Tribolium castaneum: one gene and its partner. The protein of the gene in region 2 purifies or fractionates together with the protein of the main gene of each other region. This does not show direct contact. Links are inferred from orthologs where the notes say so. Each region holds a gene or a part of one and is shown on either strand. Other genes may lie near its edges.

Evidence for each region.
Region 1: the proteins of Egfr (region 2) and kek1 purify together in Drosophila melanogaster (affinity purification with western blotting; 5 studies listed by BioGRID). This does not show direct contact. The link is inferred for Tribolium castaneum from reciprocal best matches to the Drosophila melanogaster genes Egfr and kek1.

Annotation. Positions count from the first base shown.
Region 1 is NC_087402.1:10,562,752-10,566,351, reverse strand, and holds kek1 (leucine-rich repeat-containing protein 24), read left to right. Parts: upstream 1-1,042; 5' UTR 1,043-1,216; coding exon 1,217-3,034; 3' UTR 3,035-3,555; downstream 3,556-3,600.
Region 2 is NC_087394.1:3,580,954-3,584,913, forward strand, and holds the start of Egfr (epidermal growth factor receptor), read left to right. Parts: upstream 1-1,207; 5' UTR 1,208-1,393; coding exon of another isoform or gene 1,394-1,469; intron 1,470-3,960. UniProt on the Drosophila melanogaster protein: Receptor tyrosine kinase, binding ligands of the EGF family and activating several signaling cascades to convert extracellular cues into appropriate cellular responses. Known ligands include spitz, gurken, vein and giant-lens.

The sequences.
Region 1 (3,600 bases), on a different chromosome or scaffold from region 2:
TTTCTGATCATTAGAATAGCGTCAAGTTTACAATGTTGTCATTCCACCGTGAAGATTTCCGTTTCCTTTTAAACACAGATAAATACCTTCGCGTATGATGCAGGCCCGGCCTGGCCCACAAACCTGTTTTCAAACAATGAGCCCAAAACTTTTAGAGAAAACCCCTCGATATCCTTATTCACTGCATTTCGTACACCACCACAAACAAAACCAATACCCAATTGTGGCTGGAAGAAGTGTGTAATTTTATTTCAGTTTTCTCGAAAATAAAAAAATGTTGAACAAAGTTTTTACTGACAACATTGTCAATTAATTAATAATGTGTATTATTTTGTATCAATGCATTTGTAACTGAAAAAAGCCATTCATGCCAATAAACCGTTTATAAAGCGATTGTTTGGGTGAAAATATTTAGTTGGGAAATTTTGTTTTGATTATTTATTAATTCCTTTATGAAGCACACATAGCTATTGACCATAAAAATAATTTGTAGGATATTGCCTAATAAAACAGTGAAATGAATGTTTTTTTCATTAAGATCTTAAATATAGGTAAGTTAGGTATAATCAGTTATAAGATAAGAACTTTCTGCACGAAATAATCTAATACAATTAAGCTAAAAATAGCTCATCTATAATAATAGTAATTCTCTTGAGAAATAACAACCCGCAAGTTCGTTGCATATTTATCCCTCGGAAGAAAAACGCTCGGCTCAAGTTTTACGAAGTTATAAATTTTTAAAATCCGGCTCTGTCTGCGCCGACTAAATAGCCAAATACCTCGGCACAACAAAGACCTGTTCGGTGTCCGGAGAAATAAATTAGTGTGACTGGGCTAGAGCCGACACAACAGAATAAAATCCCTTAACGTATTGAATGGTGTCAAAGCTCTACCTTGAAGCTTTCTAATTGGACGTTTCACGCCAGGTACCGAAATACCGATCCATTCATTCTGGTGGGGTGTAGGCAAAAATAGTTGTAGAAGACGTTATTAATGAGAGCATGTAGTTTGGGCCTAGCAAAAATCAGTACGTTGATGCGGTGGTTACTTGTGAACCAGTGCGCAACGCCGAGATGGTGACGGGGCCCGAGGCGAGACAACGAGGAAGGAGTAGACAGCCCTCTCATTCAGTCATCGTTCGGCGTCCGTGATGTTCGCGCAAAGACCAGTCTTCGTGGGGCTAACCACTTAATCAGTCGTCGGCGCGTCGTGCAACATGGTGTTGGTGGTGGGGCTGGTGACCCTCCTAGTGCTCACCCCGTGCTTAGGGGGCAACTGCCCGTCCCCGTGCACCTGCAAGTGGAAAGGGGGCAAGCAAACAGTGGAGTGCACGGAGCGAGGACTCATCACCATCCCCGAGAGCGTCGATCCGGAGACGCAAGTATTGGATTTGTCCGGAAATAATTTGCAGATCCTGCCCAGAGAGACGTTCGTTCGGTCGGGGCTACTCAACCTCCAGAGAGTGTTTCTAAGACGTTGTCGGATCGGGCAAATCGACGATCTCGCCTTTAGAGGATTGACGAATTTGATCGAGTTGGACTTGTCGCACAATCTACTGACGGCGGTTCCGTCCGGGACGTTCCGGGACGTACCGTTCTTACGCGATTTGGTACTTGCGTACAACCCGATTCAAAAAATAGACAGTCAGGCTTTTAAAACTATCCCGGGACTTATTAAACTCGATTTGTCGAATTGTGAAATACAAGTTATTGCTTCGAAGGCGTTTGAAGGGATTGAAATGTTGGAGTCACTCAAGTTGAACGGAAACCGGCTCTCGGAGTTACGTTTGAGGACTGTGGAGACGCTAAACAGACTCCATGGGATTGAAATGCACGACAATCCCTGGCATTGTGATTGTCGGTTGCGAGCAGTCAAAGAATGGCTCGTTAATAACAATATTCCTTACCCCATCTCGCCGATTTGTTCCGGAGGACCTGAAAGACTCATCGATAAGACGTTTACGGAGCTTCACATCGATGATTTCGCTTGTAAACCTGAAATCCTCCCCGTAAATCGCTACATTGAGGCGACTTCCGGCTCAAACGCGACGATTTTATGCCGAGCGAACGCCATCCCAGTGGCTAACATCAACTGGTATTGGAACGGACGTCCCCTTCTGAACAACTCAGCTTTCAGCTCACACCAAAGAATCCACGTTTTCGAAGAGGGCAAGCAGGAGAAGCGCAGTGTTTTAGTGTTGACAAACGTCCAAGAGATCAATTCGAGTGAATTCTATTGTGTGGCGGAGAACAGGGCTGGGAATGCCGAAGCCAACTTCACCCTCCACGTCTCGATGCGAGCTGCAGGGATCACAACGCTTGGCAGCGGCCAAATCGCCGGTCTCAGTGTCGCTCTCATAATTCTAATAATCTTTATCCTCCTGGTCATTTTCGTGCTGCTTGTCCGCCTCCGCCGCATCCCCTTTTCCGAGAGCAAAACCTCCGGTCAGATTGAAGTCGTAACTGTGGTCAACGGAACGTCCAAAGTGGAGGAACCCTCTCACGAGCATACCAAGCCGACCGAGTTGAATTTCTGCAATCCAGTCCAAAAGCCGCCCCGTTTGAGCGACTCCACGATCCCAGCTTCCTGTTTCGTGTCTCCCTCGTCGGCCTCCGGGAACAACCCTGACCTAATCAACGACACCAAACCGTCGGAGGACCCCGAAGGGTTGGAGAGGCCCGCCAGCGGCGAGTACAGTCGCAACGCTGATTCGCTCTATCCCTCGGGATTATGGGAGACGGACTACTCGCGTCAGGTGAATTTCTACGACGATAAGACGCCCATTATGGACGGGATGAGTGGCGGAGGGTCGCTGGAAGAGTTGGCGTTCAGGGCGCAAGGATATCCGGCTGATTATGGGCTTCCCATCGCTGACAAACAACAAACTTTGCCCACGAATGCGAAAACGCTGAGGGTGTGGCAGAAGGGAGGTGTTCCCGTTTTACCTCCGGTGACGGCACTCAAAAGAGCGCTGACTCACAGCAGAAATTCGCCGGATGAAGGGTATCAAGAAGGCTGCGGGACTGATGTTTAAGTGTGAATTTACCAAAGACTGCGTTCCTAAGACACTGGTTGTACATAATTTAAGTTTTCTGTAACCACAGTGCTGTGAGTACACCGGAAAGGGGATATTTAGATAAGTTTGTATTTCCTTATGTGATAATTGTTTCGTAGCGAAACTTGTAAATATTGTGTATAGACTGTAGATAATGTTGTTTATGGCGTTATGAAATTCATAGACTAAGTATACACGCTCAAAAGACTGACCATTATATTTACCAACTCAAAATTCATTTCTAGATCCCCATTTCATTTATTTTTCTATTTATTGTAAATGTTCATTGTCAGCAGCTATAGCAAAGATTTTTATGTAACATAATAGTGTATTGTTGTTTGCAACAGACGTGTAAATGTTAATATATTACAATGTTATACCCTAAATTAACGGTACCTAATATCAATTAATAATAATAATTCAGTATTCTTAATGTTACCAACATGTATATAAATGTGAAAACGGTGCGTAACTTTTGGTAATAAACAATTTAAAAGAAAGTCATGTTTCATTCCAATTTCTCACACTGTCGATAATATCACTAA
Region 2 (3,960 bases):
CTTTTTACTCATAATCACAAGTGAAAGTATTTCCTAACGATAGCAAGCATAAGGAACTTAATGTAGAAAAAAACTAAAAAATTGCAAGTTTGTTAAAAAACTTGAAAAATTTAAATGAAACACCCTATTTTTTGTTTTTGCTTCTTAAAGATCATAAAAAGATATAAAGATTTTTGATCAAGTTTGGTACATTTTTGAGTTTTGTGAGAGAATCTCGCGATGAAATTGAGTTTTTGCCAAAATATTTAAGTTTTGACACAATTTTCGAATTGGAATGTATCAAAGACAAATCGATCGACAGTTTATCCACGATTTTTGAAGCCCAGTCTAATAGAAAACTAGAAATTTTCTTAGAAAACAGAAAAATTTCAGATGATATGGCCGAGATTTCCAAAATAATCAAACAACAGTTTTTTGTTCAGTTCCAATTTATTTCGAGTTGTAAGAAAAGCTCTCGAAAAATGCGTGTTAAGAAAGTTTGTTTAAAAAAGAGGCTGAAAAAAGAAAAAAATATGTCAAAATCACATAAATTATTTAACTGTTGGAAAGTTTTTTTTTCTAAACTACGGCCAAATGGTGAGACAAAACTGAAATATTTTGGACCAAGTCTGTGTAATATGTTCCAACTATGGCCACTTTTCTGTTGTTCAGTAAGAACCCACCAAAATAAAAAAGTCATTTTCCTATGGAACTTTGGTTCGTTCAAAATAGTCATAACTTGAAGCCGTCAATGTAGCAATAAATTATGCTTCACCTGACGCACAACCAACGCGTCTCCATTCAAAAAACTCCAACAACCGCTAATTGCGCTAATAAATTTCCAGTTCCACATTGACCATCTCGTCCCAGCTCATTCATAAGTTCATTGATCTACCATCAAATTAATCCAAAAAAAACGCAATCCCTCCAACACCACCGCAATTAAAAATTCTCAAACCAGAATGATAGACGCGCTACCGCATTACGTAAACCCATCGACCCATCGGACTCGCTACCATCTCCCCTGACCCCCAGCTCGACCCACCCATTGGTCGACTCTACCATGGCTTTTTCATCTTTTCCCAACAATAATACAGATCAACATTCTTCTACGCAAGGAGCACAATAGCCCCATCTCTCTCTTACCTGTTGCTCACAAGGTCACTAATCTACCTGTGACACTTCGGCCGTCTTCGCCTCCGGTCGCTCCGGGCTCGAGAAGCGCGACGTTCAATTGTTGTCATTCGAAATCGAGTCGTCGAGAGGTGGTGTTGTTGTTGCTTCGAGTTGTGCAACAGGTTGTCGTACTTATTTTGTTTTTTCCCATGACACTCGGATGATGACTTAGTGCAGTGTTGTGATGCTGTGAGCAGTGTTTTTTTTTTTCTGGAATTTTGGTTTTGTTTTTCTCAAAATGGATATTTTTCTCCTGGGGATTATCCTGGCCATGGCTGGCTTTGGAGGGTGTAATGTGGACATGGGGGTTAGAGGTGAGTGCGTCTCTCTGATGAGCTGTCTTTAATTTTTTTATTTATTTATTGCTTTGGAATAATGTTTGTTTATTGCGCGCTTCTTTGGAAATCGCTTACAGAGGTCTCAAGACCACTTGGGACCGTTTAAAAGGAGAGCCGCATTCCAACTGATGCTTTCAAGTGTCACTTTTTTGAAACGTCGATCCATCACTCTTTGTTCAAAAATTTCGGATTCAGGTCAAGTGGAGGGTGAAATTTTGAGGGCTTTAATTACTCCAATTAAAACTAATTTTTCGGGACGTTGGCTTGAAGTTAAGTTGGCCACATTATTTATCTTTTTTCCGTTTTTGCGTTAATGTTGCCAACTTGATTTCAAAATTTATGGCTTTAATCAGAAAAAAATCGGCTCTAATGAGGCTTGAATTACCTATTAGTTTTTTCTGCATTAGGTACATCCAGATATGTTTTCAGTTGTAATTACTAGTGAATTAAAAAATAATGACTAATTCGAAATTCGCACCCTCACTCAGGAACTTTGTGTGACAAGGTTGGCAGCTCTGGATAAAAAGACCGCCATAATAGTGACACTGAGACGCTAGACTGTGTGGTCGTGATGTGCTTTTTATTTTTGTGATGTTTCCTTGTGTTTGTGATTGTGTTGTTAAAATTAACAGCCTTAACACTAATTATTCGTATGGTGACAATCAAAAACTTTTGGTAACGACGATTTACCGATTTCATTTCACCACTCCTGTGCCAGATCCTGTTTTCTTTCCTTTTCTCCAGTACCAGGTCAGTTTTTCCTTTAATTTTTATAGTTGGACAAATGTATGGAACCAAGCATTCTGTGCCTAACTATGTACCTTACGAAAAAACCTCTTAGTACCTCATGAAGGACTTGAAAATGGGGTTATGTTTAAAGTACAATTTTTTTTGGGTTATTATAAAAAAAAATCAAAATTTTATTTTTACACCAATGTTTTTTTTTAAATAATTATGAAAGTTCCATACTTTTGCTCAACTCTGTATGCAAAACTCAGTCTTTTGGGACATTTTAAAGACGATCTTGCCATGGAAAATTCGGTATCTATTATTTTACGGACCATAATAAATGTGAAAAAAATAGAATTGTTATTTATTGTCCTACAACCTTATAAATTGCCACATTGTGAAGCGCTTCCAAAATTTTTTACATCAGATTTTTTTCTAAATTTCTTTAAAACTCTACATTCGATCGTAACAAAAAAAAGTTAAGGCATCGGTTATGAATTACGCTCATTAAGGACCTTAATGAAAATAAGAAAAAGAATAATTTTTTTATGGAAATAATCCAAAAAGTTTGGAAAAAAAACTAATTTTTTGTGGGAAAAAATATCAAAAATCAGAAACTTGTTCAAAGTTACTTGAATACCAGCAGAAACGTGTGAAAATGGAAAATAAACTTATTTTTTGTGGGAAAAACTATCAAAAATCAAAAACTTGTTCAAAGTTACTTGAATACGAGCAGAATTGTGTGAAAATGGAAAATAAGTTTGGAAAAAAAACTTATTTTTTGTGGGATAAAATATCAAAAATCAGAAACTTGTTCAAAGTTACTTGAATACCAGCAGAAACGTGTGAAAATGGAAAATAAGTTTAGAAAAAAAATTTATTTTTTATGGGAAAAAATATCTAAAATCAAAAACTTGTTCAAAGTTACTTGAATACGAGTAGAAACGTGTGAAAATTGTTTAGAAATCATTGAGCAGTTAGTACTTGAAGGTTTTTGTTTTTTCTGTTTTTTTTAGTTTTTTCTGTTTTAATTGGTCTAAAATTTTTCGTATTAGGTATTCACATGAAGAAAAAACTTTTATTTCTTATTTTTTATTTTTATTTATTTATTTATTTATTTTATTATTTTTTATTATTTATTTTTATTTATTCTTTTTATTTATTTCACCTATATACAGTGCGTTTTACTTTTTGTTTATCATAACTTTTTTTTTATTTTCTGGAGGTATTTTCTGTAGTACCAGTATTAACTATGATAGTCTTATTATTCTAAGAATTTTTTAATTTTTTTTTCTGTTTTAATTGTTTTTAAATTTTTTGAATTATGTATTCACATGAAGAAAACATTTTTATTTCATCTATATATAATGCGTTTTACTTGTTATTGAGCATAACTTTTTTTTAATTATTTGGAGGTAGCTATGTAGTACCGGGATAATTATGATAGTCTAGTTATTATTCTAAGAAATTAAAATTTTAGTAATGTTTTTCTTGGACAATATTCCGGTAACTAAAAAACCTTTACTACCACTTTTTTTGTTATTATTTGGCAAAAACAATTATTCTCTAAGTTTCCTAATGTATAAGTTAAGACCCACCCTCTATAGACAAATGGGTGACCAATTTATCTCTCTAAATTTTGAAAGACATTTTCTTCACTTTTTTTCAATTATACCAGAAAATAATATAATAAAGTTTTGTTAGGAGTAAAAGCTTTATTTTTGTCTGTCTATTGACC